3 linked regions of the Bombyx mori genome follow. The protein of the gene in region 1 interacts with the protein of each later gene in a pairwise test. Links are inferred from orthologs where the notes say so. Each region holds a gene or a part of one and is shown in the gene's direction. Other genes may lie near its edges.

What was found.
Region 2: the proteins of Taf1 (region 1) and Tbp interact in binary tests that used the Drosophila melanogaster proteins (3 or more experiments, as listed by UniProt). The link is inferred for Bombyx mori from reciprocal best matches to the Drosophila melanogaster genes Taf1 and Tbp.
Region 3: the proteins of Taf1 (region 1) and transcription initiation factor TFIID subunit 4 interact in binary tests that used the Drosophila melanogaster proteins (3 or more experiments, as listed by UniProt). The link is inferred for Bombyx mori from reciprocal best matches to the Drosophila melanogaster genes Taf1 and Taf4.

The regions. Positions count from the first base shown.
Region 1 is NC_085123.1:8,778,479-8,782,823, reverse strand, and holds the start of Taf1 (transcription initiation factor TFIID subunit 1), read left to right. Parts: upstream 1-1,439; 5' UTR 1,440-1,594; coding exon 1,595-1,814; intron 1,815-3,006; coding exon 3,007-3,074; intron 3,075-3,214; coding exon 3,215-3,444; intron 3,445-3,694; coding exon 3,695-3,809; intron 3,810-3,917; coding exon 3,918-4,099; intron 4,100-4,209; coding exon 4,210-4,345. UniProt on the Drosophila melanogaster protein: TFIID is a multimeric protein complex that plays a central role in mediating promoter responses to various activators and repressors. Largest component and core scaffold of the complex.
Region 2 is NC_085118.1:10,751,574-10,755,780, reverse strand, and holds the start of Tbp (TATA-box-binding protein), read left to right. Parts: upstream 1-1,293; 5' UTR 1,294-1,506; coding exon 1,507-1,779; intron 1,780-1,951; coding exon 1,952-2,082; intron 2,083-2,118; exon of another isoform or gene 2,119-2,255; intron 2,256-2,331; exon of another isoform or gene 2,332-2,434; intron 2,435-2,960; exon of another isoform or gene 2,961-3,098; intron 3,099-3,684; coding exon 3,685-3,928; intron 3,929-4,207. UniProt on the Drosophila melanogaster protein: General transcription factor that functions at the core of the DNA-binding multiprotein factor TFIID.
Region 3 is NC_085107.1:19,834,902-19,838,989, reverse strand, and holds the start of transcription initiation factor TFIID subunit 4, read left to right. Parts: upstream 1-1,216; 5' UTR 1,217-1,239; coding exon 1,240-2,055; intron 2,056-3,216; coding exon 3,217-3,381; intron 3,382-4,088. UniProt on the Drosophila melanogaster protein: TFIID is a multimeric protein complex that plays a central role in mediating promoter responses to various activators and repressors.

The DNA.
Region 1 (4,345 bases):
ATGATAAGAACGCGAGATATTTTATTTTATGTGGTTGTTTATTATTTCTTTCGGTTTATTATTAAATATTATTTCTTCTTTCTCTGTCGAATCCGCGGCACTCGAAGTTGTGTCTGAATACACCATCTTGGCCAAATTTTTTATCTAGGCAGGGCCAACTTCGAGAAGGAAGCTGATAGGCGCGTACAGTTGGGCTGGGCTGCGTATGGAAAGCTCTGTCATATCTTTAACTCAGCAAACCAGCAAAGCCTAAAGATGAAAGTCTTCAACGATTGCGTGCTAACGGTCATGACATAATATGGCGCTCAAACGTGGACATTGACCGTAGGTCTGACTCGTAAGTTCAAAGTCACACAGCATGTTATGGAAAGGGATATGCTCGGAGTTTCTTTCATGGATCGAGTCAGAAATGAGGAAATCCGTCGAAGAACCAAAGTAACCGGTATAGCCCTAAAGATTAGCAAAGCTGACGTGGCAATAGGCCGGATATACGTATCGCAGACCCAATGACCGATACCCGATACCACATACCCGGAAGCGCAGTGCTGAACGTCCCGCTTCCCTGTGAACCGAAGACTTACGGTGATATGCTGGAGAAGATTGGATGCGGAAGGCGGAGGACCGTTCATTATGGCAGACTATGGGGAGGCGTACATCCAGCAGTGGAGAGATAAAGGCAGATGATTATGTAGGTTCTTAATCGTATTGTTTCTATAAAAGTCTAAGATGTGGTTTTCGAGCTCTTCCAAAAATTTATTACTTTATTCCATCTCACTTACTTAATTCCACAAAACATTCAATTTTATTCCTTAATTTCATTTTATACCTAAACTTTTTTACTGGGCAAGGAACATTGGTGTCGGCTTATTTTTTTAAATTATAATAATTAATAAATTATTGTTATGAGTATTAATTTTTTTGCCAATTTAGTGAATCAATCAAACATTTTTGATACTGGAGTTTATAGTTGTCTCGACTTTTTGACGGGAACGCGAGAAGCGAAGTTGTGTGAATTGTTTTATTTTGTCTATTTAGTGTTTCTTCAGGTTTAAATCTGTAATAACGGTGGCTTATTAACCTTTTAGTATCTGTAAAAGTGCACAAATGTGGGAAAATGAAACAAAGCCGATGGACGTAGCTTTTCGGGATCTTCCAAAATGTCCACTGAAAAAGTTTCAATAATTATTATCCACCATTTTACTGAGATTATACTTCATCCTATGTTATCTCATCTCATTTAATTTAATTTCATACCAATTGATTAATGTTTCAAATTAATCAACTTTGTTTTTTATTTCATTCTGTATTATCATTTTTCATAAGAAAAGGAAATAAACAATTAGTCGTTATGGTTTGATACCTTTGCCATTACAGTTAGAAAAATAGAACTTCTACTACTGTTAACTTAATGTCAACTCAAAATCTATGTCAAAATCTACGAGGCAAACAGCAAACACTCATAAATAAAGAATAATACCATTTGAAACAAAAAAATTGCAATGCAACTTGAGTAGCCTTATTAAACATTATACATATCTTAATTAAACTAATATTATGAACTTGGAAATGTAATTGTATTGTACTTCTTCGAACCATGTGTGATAGTGACGAACAAGGTGACCACAGCCGTTCAGGCTTGGATCTGACCGGGTTCTTGTTTGGTAATATTGACGAAAGGGGTCAGTTAGAAGATGATGGATTGCTAGATGGTGAATCGAAGCGAATGTTATCATCGCTTAGCCGCTTAGGTTTAGGGTCTATGCTCTCTGAAGTCCTGGAGGTTGAGGAACCAGTTAAAGAAGAGGAAGAAAAAGGTTAGTGTTTTTTTTTATCAATTTCGACTCTGCATTGTCGATGTTGAGTGTGTTACTACATTTGACGACACATTTGACTAAATTTGTCTAAATTTTGACTACATTTGAATAAACATGCCTTGAAAGTAAACCAGTAAATGTAATAATACTTTAGAATATGTGTTTGTAATTGTCACTACGGACCTTAAATGAATAAAATTAAAGGGGTAAAGCTAAAAAGAAGTCGTAGAATATCAACTGGGGATTTTCACATTTTATTCATTCTGTTTACACAAATCTCGAAGTACTGACCTGATTTTCATGTAGATTTTGTAGGTACTAGTGAGACAGAATATCTTGCTGCAGAAAGTAGGCTTTGCTTCATTACAGAAGAATGTTGCAAAAAATGTTATTGTCATTTAATTATTTTCGAAATTATATATAATTTATAATTAGTATGTAAGTACCTAGCTCTATTTGTATGTTTTCACTTCTAAACCACTATACTAAGTTTGAATTTAGTTTCGTGTCGAAATTATTACTGTATAAACCTTAGGAAATAATATGGCCTATATTTTGTCCCACTGCTGTAAATGGGTCTCCGTCACTCTTATATAAAAAGTAAATGGGTTGTGCACAGCTGTATTGGTAATTGAATGAAAGCCAAATAAAAAAAAGTAAAATAGTAAACAAATAGTTGTTGATTTTTATATTTCAAACCTATATTAGATATTAAGAAACCTTTTCATTAGTGTAAATTAGCACATTTTTTAAATGGTAACATGCACATAGACATCACATGGCAAATCAGTTTGAAGTCCCAAATGCCGAAATCACCTACTCTTGAAATGGAATGCTTGCTTATTTTCTAGTAAAAATATGCAGAACCTTTGCCTTACCTTTAAGTAGCTGATATAAAAGTTTTGAATTGGATAACCAATGGTATTATGAGAAATATGCACTTATGATGAGAATATGCACATAGATTAGCAGTGAGTAAGCAAACTTCAGTCATAAATCATACATAGTCAACAGTGAAATCCAAGTCAGGAAACTTAGAAGATAGTAGTTTCTTTTAGTATGGTTCAAACTACTGTTAAGGTTTAATCTCACATTTTCTTATGTCAACTGAAATTTTAACTTAACTTTTAAACTGAAGACATTATTAATTGCAGCAATGGTAAACATCTAATTCTTTATTTTATTTCATCAGACTATAATGAGAAAAGTCCATCGGCTGTGGACTTTTTTGACATTGAAGATGCAGCAGAGGATATAAAAGTATGTTTTTGATTTCACAAACCAACTTATAATATTGCATAGTATTTAATCTATTAAACAGCTATCTATTCTATCTAAACACCTACCATTATTTTAAAACTAATCACTAGCTCTGAAATAAATTTATGTTGGTGTTACAGGTAGAAAATAATGTGATAAAATTTGAAAATACTTCAGATGTACAAACTGTGCATAGCAGCAATGTTCCTGTGATTATTGATTCACAGAGTATTAAAGAGGAATTAAAAGAAGATACTTGGAGGGACACTGATATTGCAGGAGAACAAGAGGTACAGAGTACCAATGATGATGGCTATGAAGGTGATATGGAAGGTGATGGTGGACTTATGCCCCCTCCTTCGACAGTTCCGTTAGTATATTCTTTTCCAACTTATGAATGAAAAGGGAACAGATTCACCCAATTAGATAGAGAATTTCATTTTATGACAACACAAATTGCATAATTGCTAATAGTATGATATAATGTAACCAAATTAATGGCTTATATGTAAGTACCAATATGTTGCCTATTTCGTAATCAAAATTTAATTTAGTAGATATTGGTAAATACAGAAATACAATATGACATTAAAATAAAATGAAAATTAATTGTTTTACAGACCCCCCAAACAAGAAAAACCCAAAAAACTAGATACTCCATTGGCTGCAATGCTTCCATCTAAATATGCCAATGTTGATGTCACAGAACTGTTTCCGGATTTCAGACCAGATAGAGTGAGTAATATGTTGTTTTTAAATATTAACAAGAGCTGAATTCTCAAGCTAATAAATGTTATTTATTTGCTGTTTTCATGAAATTTTATTTGATAAATATTCATGTAGGTACTTCTTTTCTCTCGACTTTTTGGACCTGGAAAACTGTCCAGCTTACCGCAAATATGGCGCGGTGTTAAAAAACGTAGACGTCGAAAGCGCAGTGGAAGTACAGGCAGTGACACACCACCGATGGTTCCAGACAGTCAGGAACCTCAATATGCAAGTGACGATGAAGAGAAACTTCTCAAGTAAATATACTGAAGATTAAAACAGCATTTTCTTTATCAATAGCTTACTCTCTTATGTATGTATCCTTAAATTAATGATTTAAAAATAAATTTAATAACACTTATTTTAGGCCTATGGAAGAAAATCAACAGATGTCTAATGACGATAAGGGATTAGGCTCAGGAGACAAAGCACAAAGGCCAACACCGGCCCACTGGCGTTTTGGTCCTGCTCAAGTTTGGTATGATATGTTGAATGTACCAGAG
Region 2 (4,207 bases), on another chromosome or scaffold:
TGGTTTTGCTCCTATTTATTTTTTTAATACTTGTTCGTGGTGTGTCTTGTTCTGCCTGTTCTCTTGATTGAGAGATTGTAAAAATTTGTTGGAAGGTTACTTCTCGTGGTATTCCGTCTACCATTTGAACTAAATCAGGCCATTTTTGTTTCAAGTCGGTTTCTAAATCTGGATGATTCAATCCAGTGGCAAAGCGGTCACGTAATTGTCGTTCCAGGAAGTCATTAGTGTAGCCACAATCCCGACTAAGACCTTTTAATCTGTTTGCATAGTGTTCCATCGTTTCATTTTGTTCTCTAGTGCAATTCCAAAATTCTGTTAAGGCTCTATACCTCGTCGTTTTTATGCGATAGAGGTCTAATAATTTGTTACAAATTTCGCTGTATGTAGCTATATCGAAATCAGGCGTTAAAGCTACTTTTAATTCGTGGAATATCTCTGGTGTTAGTAAATTCAGAAGCAAATCTTTCTGTAAGTCGCTGTTATCGATAGCAAGAATTTTGCATTTGTTTTCGAAAAAATCAATGTAATCGTCAATTCTGAATGTATCTGGATTGTATTTATCCATATTGAAATGTTTGATTATACTTATCTTGTTATCCGTATCATGTTTTGTAAAAGAGTCGTTCGTCACGCTCTTGGCCGTTGTATTGCAAACTGCTGGTACCAACAATTTCAAGATTTGTAAAATCTGCTCTTGCTGGTTTTGTTGTGCATGTAAAAATAATGCGAATTGTTCATCGTTCATCTTAATTTCTTTTAACTCGTCGCCAATATAATAAAACAATGTTTTCAAGACATAGCATAAAATATAATAATGATAGGTAGCAAAAATGACAATGTGTTTGAAGTATATTTCAAATAATGGAATATGTAAAAGAAGGTTACAACAGAGTGCACCGCGGCGCCGGCGCGGCCTTGACATTTTCAATGAACCTGTTACATTTCTACGTACCTATTCCATTTTGAACGCGCGCTTACTGGAGAGCGCTAGATAATTATTGCACACGAGCGCTACATGGGCATCTCTACCTGTGGTTCTACAGAGACATCATTACATTTCATCTCACTCATTAAGTTTCATCGGGTACCTAGTCCATAACATTTGATTCTATTCTATTACACTTTGGATTTAACAAACCAAATTGTCTTTTAACACAAAATAATGGACTAGGCTGAATAGTTTCATTCCATCGCCTTCGCTTATCGCGAATATGATTTTACTTTGACATGTTGGTTCTGAATTTTGTTTGAAAAATGAGGAATTATATAGATACCTACATAATGTGACTTGTGTTGATCAACTAAGTTTTAACTGTTTTAATTCATTGTATTAATTGTTTTGCTGATCCATTAAATTTGCAAATAATTTCACAATTTAGGTGATATTGTTCAGAAAGTAAGAACGATATAAGCGTCATTATCAATTAATAAATAGACAGTTAGGTCGACGCTTACTAAAACACTCACCCGAAGTTTCCATATAAAGAAAGTAAAGAAAGAAAAATGGATCATATGCTGCCAAGTCCGTATAACATACCTGGAATAGGTACACCATTGCATCAACCTGAAGAAGACCAGCAAATCTTGCCTAATGCAATGCAACAGCAACAGCTTCAACAGCAACAGTCCCAGGCACAACCGTCACTTGCCGCTCTGGGTTCGTCGCCAATTGTAGGATTTGGCGCAATCATGGGGACTCCACAGAGGTCTATGCACACATATGCACCAACAGCCAGCTATGCAACTCCGCAACAGATGATGCAGCCTCAAACTCCAGTAAGGATTTTAAGTCCTTGTTTTACGAGAATTTCCATTTATAATTTTAAATTATTTTGACAGTAATATTTTTCAATGATTTCATATTTGCTTTTTAATCCAAACCAACAATTCAACACTCTTTAATTTCTAGATAAATTTAACATTAACATTCAGCTATATCAACTTTTAGCAAAATATGATGTCTCCGATGATAGCTGCAGGAAATCTATCAAGTCAACAAATGCTAAGCCAAGCTAGTCCTGCCCCAATGACTCCTCTGACACCACTCTCTGCAGACCCTGGAATTTTACCACAGTTACAGTTAGTATTTGAAACATTTGTCCAATATCAATTTAATAAAATATTAAATTAAAAAGTTTAGAGTATTAAACTCAGCAGTGATGTGTATAATGAACCTTATTAGACCCTTAGTGGGGTCTCTTAAGAATCTTCAACTTCTCACAACTTCACACAGACTTCAAATTACAGTTAATCTGAAACAGTTTAAGAGGCCAGGTTATTTTTCATTCTGCTAAAAAAAAACAACGTGTATTTAAAGTCAAAGATAACCTGTTCTAAGTGATAACCAGAGATCTAAGTGATAAACATCACAATATCACCATCTTAAAAAGTAAGAAATTTCAAGGACATTTTTGTATCATCACCCTCCAAGCTGAAATTAATAATATCTGCTTTGTGACACATATAGACAGAATTTTAGTATTATCATCCTGTGTAGGTTCACAATTCAGGGCAAATCACAAATAATTACACATGTTCTGATACAAGACATTTTTTGCCATTGAAGTCTGCTATGCTGGACCATGTTGTTATTATGAGGATAATTTTGCCAATTTTACATTGTTTACTTTATATTGTAAGGCTAAATAACCATTAAGTTGGCAAAACTAAATGTAGTTTGATTGAGTTAATTATTATGAGACATGTTTTAAAATAACTTCACTTTTACAAAAGGGGCCACTACCTTGCAAATTATATCAAAAGATGACAAATTTAGTCAACACTAGTTTTTTTTATATGTAAAATTTTTGCAGTATGATATTATTTACAAAACAACCAATTTTCTCATTTTAGTATGCTCAAAGATCATAATCATACTGTAAATGTGATGGACAGTAATAAAAAAGAATGGTGGTTAGTATCATTCAGTAAGCTTGGTTATTTTGTTGAATATATACCTTCTCGTAAAAGTAACTGGCTTGGAACTTCATAATATATTTGGCCCTTGTTTGCTGGACTTAGCATAATGCAAACTGTATTGATAGTAATACTCAAATTTGCAAATAAGCAACTTGTGGCAGCCAAGCCAACAATAGTGTGGTTCTTAGTGTTCACTGTACAGAACATAGATTCTGAGGAACTCTTCAATATTTTGACTATACTTTTCAAACATCTATTCAAATGTTAATATTGGAATTATAATTTCCCTTCAATTTATATCCCATGGAATTTCATTAATTAATACAAAAAGTGATTGCTGAAAATACAGAATTCTTACACTATAATATGTTATTATTCAGTATCAGAGCAGAGCAACTCAAATGGCGCCTTTGCTACCTGGATTCTTTCCTCGTTTTCTCTAATTCGATAATTAATGGGAGATTTGAAGTGCCAGAATGTTAGTGTTAAAGATATAAAATTAAAATTAATTTCAGCATGCCCTAGGTTGAATTTTTTGAGTAAATATCAATTTAAAATTTTTGAATAAATAGTTTCAAATATCTATTATATTACTTGCCCAATGGAGTGTAATGTTTTGGTTTAAAGATGAAAAGTCTAACATACTTTAACCAACTAATAAAATGAAATCTCGTTTTAATGTAGAAAAAAATCACAATTTTGACTAAAATTAAGTCTAAATAATCCATATTTTTTTAAAGTTGCATTCAAAAAACATTTCAGAAACATAGTCTCTACTGTAAATCTTGACTGCAAATTAGATTTGAAGAAGATTGCATTACATGCTCGTAATGCTGAGTATAATCCCAAACGTTTTGCCGCTGTAATTATGAGAATAAGGGAACCGAGAACAACAGCTTTAATTTTCTCATCTGGTAAAATGGTCTGTACTGGTGCCAAAAGTGAGGAAGACTCCCGTTTAGCGGCAAGAAAATATGCTAGAATAATCCAGAAATTAGGCTTCACAGTGAGTATTATAATTTATTTCAATCACAATTAGACAAGCAGTTTCACTTGATGGATGGATTAGCACCAAAAATTTAGATATCAAATAGGTATCTCGAATAATGTTTTTCCTTAGATTCTACAATACATCTAGTCTAGGTAGAGTCTAAAACTACATTTAAGTTTTAAAAAAATCTGAAATAGACATGAATATAATCTTTTCATAGTTTTAATACTTTCTCAGCTGTTGGGTACGCAGCACGTCACACGTGTCAATAAGGCGAATGACGTCAACCCGGGT
Region 3 (4,088 bases), on another chromosome or scaffold:
TTATTTCGCCCTAAAATCGTGTTTTATTTCGTTTATTTCGTTTACTCTACTTTATTTATGCTACTAATCATATTGAAACGCACTAAAATTTTCGTGAATTTAATTCAATTTATACAGTACTAGCGGCCCGCACCGTCTCCGCTCGGGTCTTTAATAAAAAATTCAATGATATTTGACGTTGTTTTATTTTTTTTTAAATAAAAGAACACTTATTGCGGAATAACTATAAGAGTACATATGCTGTTGCGACACTTTTTGTAAATAATGTGTTCTACAAAGTTGTACATTATTTTATTCTATTATCAATAGTTTTCGCAGGGCACGCGATGGAAAGAATATTGAAGGTAATTTTTTTACACCTTGGGTTACATTATTGGAGTTTTAGTTTTAGTAAGATCCCTAAATTTTTCAAAAAATAATATAACCTATGTCACTCGGGAATAATGTAGCTTCGAAACAGTGAAAGAATTTTTCAAATCGGTTCAGTGGTTTCGGAGCCTATTCAATACAAACAAACAAACAAATCTTTCTTCTTTATAATATTGGTATAGATAATTTAAAAAATATTAACGTAGCTTTTTAGCTTGTTAATATTTTTCCAAAAATATAAATTAATATCATAACTAAAATTTTGCGACTTGCGACTTAGACCTCATTATAATTCAATTCATTAAGGAATGTCGATCACTTTAGATGGAGTAAAATGTGGTATTATAACATTAGGATTTGATAAGAACGTAATTTATAAAGTGTCTAACACAATCACAACAAAAGAGACTTAAAATTAAAATATAGTTATGAATAGCGAATTAAGAATAAGTTTTAGCCTGAAACCTTTGCAGTTGTAAATTGGCTCACCTTTGTACAAAGACGCTGTTCTACTTTTTGGCGGACACTTTTAACAGATCACAAAGTTGGTGTTTATTTATTTATTTATGTACCTTATTTTATGTCCCTGTGTATTTAACTGTAAATATTGTATATAGTCATCTGAGGTATGACAACTTTTAGCATGTATTACCAACATTTGTACAATTTTCAGTCAAATAACAAAATTATTCTTTTTATTGAAAAGGTAGTGATTTTATTTGGGCTGTCTTAAAAAAAGTACTTTTTATCAAACAGACAAAAATCTAAAAAGTAAAAAATAAAAGTTGTTTCCAAAAGCAGTGATACCACATTTTGTCGGTAAATACCGGTTTGTAACCGTCCAGTGTCATATCCGCTGATTTGTAGAAAATGGCGTCAACGGAGTTTTTGGAGGAAGCTTTGTCCACAGACGTCGACGAGAAAGCCGTGAACGCGATCGTGGGCACTCTCGAAAACCAATTAGTTACTAACGTATCGTCGGCGCCGTCACAAAATATTTTAGTGAACGTTTTATCATCTCAGTTTCCCGGGCTAAGTTCGAACGCGGGCTCTATTATAAGTGGTCATAAATATACAACAGGCGGAGTTAGCTGCGGTATTGCCGCGAACAGTATACACAGACCCTCGTTGACAAATAGCACGTCCTGTAATAATGTCCAATCAAGTGTTCCTGGTACTTATTCCTCTTTGACACCGGGTGGTACTGTGACCAATTGTAACGATAACATACAAGTTATATATTCTCAGGCTCAAGCATTTTCTAACCCAAATTCGGTGACATTTCCCGCTCAGTCACTTCCGAACGGTTTCGTTGGGTTGTCCTCGTCCCAAAATCATTTGATAACGTCAGTAGACGCGATGCAACCTCCTTTAGTTTTAAAACAGGGGACGTCTTCGGGCCAAGTGGGAATACAGTCTGGAATGGTCACAGTACCGATGACAGCCAATTCAAGCATGTCCGGTTCAATACCAAATGTAATGACTTTGAACAAACCTGGACAAAATGTAGTTGTAACAACTCAGAACTTGGGTTCGAGTCAGCCCACAATACTCCCTAATGTTCAGATTCTGAATATGAGAGCTGGTGCTCCAGCAGTTGCGGCACAAAAGTCAGTAGCAACAGTATCACCAAGAGTAGTGATAGGCACCCCACAAGTTGTTGGCACCAGAGCTGCAGGACCAGGCGTAAGTCTCAAATGTTAAAATATTAATACATTAATTATTTATCCAAGCGTTTTGTCACTAAAACTTATTTAAAACTTTTAGGACTGATACAAGTTGTAAAGTAAATATACCACCAAAAAAAAAAAAACTTTTATAAATAAAACAATATTTAGGAAATTCAAAACATAGTATATTGCAACTTTTCTGAAATGTTTGTAAAAGATAAAAATCATTAAACTTAAAATAAGTTAATGTTATTAATTTCTAATTTAATCAAATCAGAATCTTCTATTGTTTTTATTGTCTTTTTATCAGTCCTAAAACAAATTAACAATAGACATTATAGAGGAACTAAAACAAAAAAGAAAAAATCTACAGGATCTTTCTGCATTATAATGTTATGCTGTAAAAATAAATGTTATAACATGGTTCATTATGGTTATGTACAAAAGATATTAACACAATTCTTAGATACCCACTTATCTGTAAATAAATTTCACTGAAACATGAAGAGGATGGATTTCTTCGGGCAACATCACTGTCATCTAAAACTCTTAGCATATTTGCACAAATTGTCACATAAACACAGAATACTGCTTGTTAAACTTTTATCAATGGGAAATGGGCCCACTGGTGATTCAACAAATTTTCAGTGGTTTGCATATCATAAACAAGCTGAAATTTAACTTTGAATTCTGCTACCCTACAATCAAATAATGCCTCAAAATATAAACCTAATACAACATGGATTTATAAATTAAACTTTATTATATAATTTTCTGGGAATCCATAAAACTGCTACAAATAAAAATATTAGTAAAATTTATGAAATCAAGCAATCTTTACCAGTTTAATGGAATCTGAGAAAGCTTCATTTCAGATGTCATATATGTCATATATAATTGCATTGTGCTACTCGGGCTTTTGTATAATATTGTAATCAATAATAGCTTAACCCATCCTAACCTTGTCATAATCATATCATATACATGTTAGTTTTGCACAGTCACCTGTCCCGTCAATGTTGTCATGTCACTGAAGTGTGTTATAAATTTTAACAAATGACCTGCTTTAGGAATTCGCATTCCAATTTTATATTTAGTAAAATATATATTCTTTCACTTGTTACTCTTCATTTAATGAAGAAGTAGGTGAAATTGAATTGAAGCGTTCAATTTTTAGATAACGCTGCAAACACTACCAAGTCTACAACCGGGCCAGCAGGGTCATTTGTTGTTAAAGACAGAGAATGGTCAATACCAGTTGCTGAGAGTGGGTCCCGCTCCAGCGGCCAGCTCTCTCACGACGCCCCAGCCTCAAACCATCAGGCTGTCCACTGTGCCAGCAGTAAGTAGGCACAACCACTCACACCCTGACTGAGATTGGACAACCCCCCCTCTCTCTTGCGCCACATTGAGAATCTCATGTTTGTCCAATTTCATGTTGTTCATGCATGTACAAATGTGGTGAAGGTGCATGTTCTTATTAACAAGGTAAGAAGATTCTAATTGGAGTATCATTACTTATAAATACTAATTACCTGGATTCATTAGTTTAATGTAAGGCATAAATATATGCGCTGGTACCCCAACAGTACATCTAAGTATAAGCCAAATGTCCGTGCTAGCTGTAGAGCATGCTTATTATGCATAGTTATTAAGCTGCTTCAAGTATTTAAATATTTATTAGTAAATACAATAATATATGCAATATAATTAGATATGTGTTTATAGATATATTTATAATTTAGTGTTATACTTTAATAAATTTTTTATAAATTTTAGAAATTATAAGTTATTTGATTAATATAATCTTAACTGTATAACAGACAAGCCATTGTTTAAAAATATCAAAAATATCTATTATAAATTATTATACAGTAATCCATCCTATAACACAGTCAATTGGTTCCATGTTATAGGAAACACGTTGTAGGAGTATTTTCATATGACGCACTTGTGTGATCCCATAACACGCGTTTTATACAAATATATATAAATATAATGCAATATAACCAATGTTTTTACAATTCATAAACTAGGAACACAAAATAA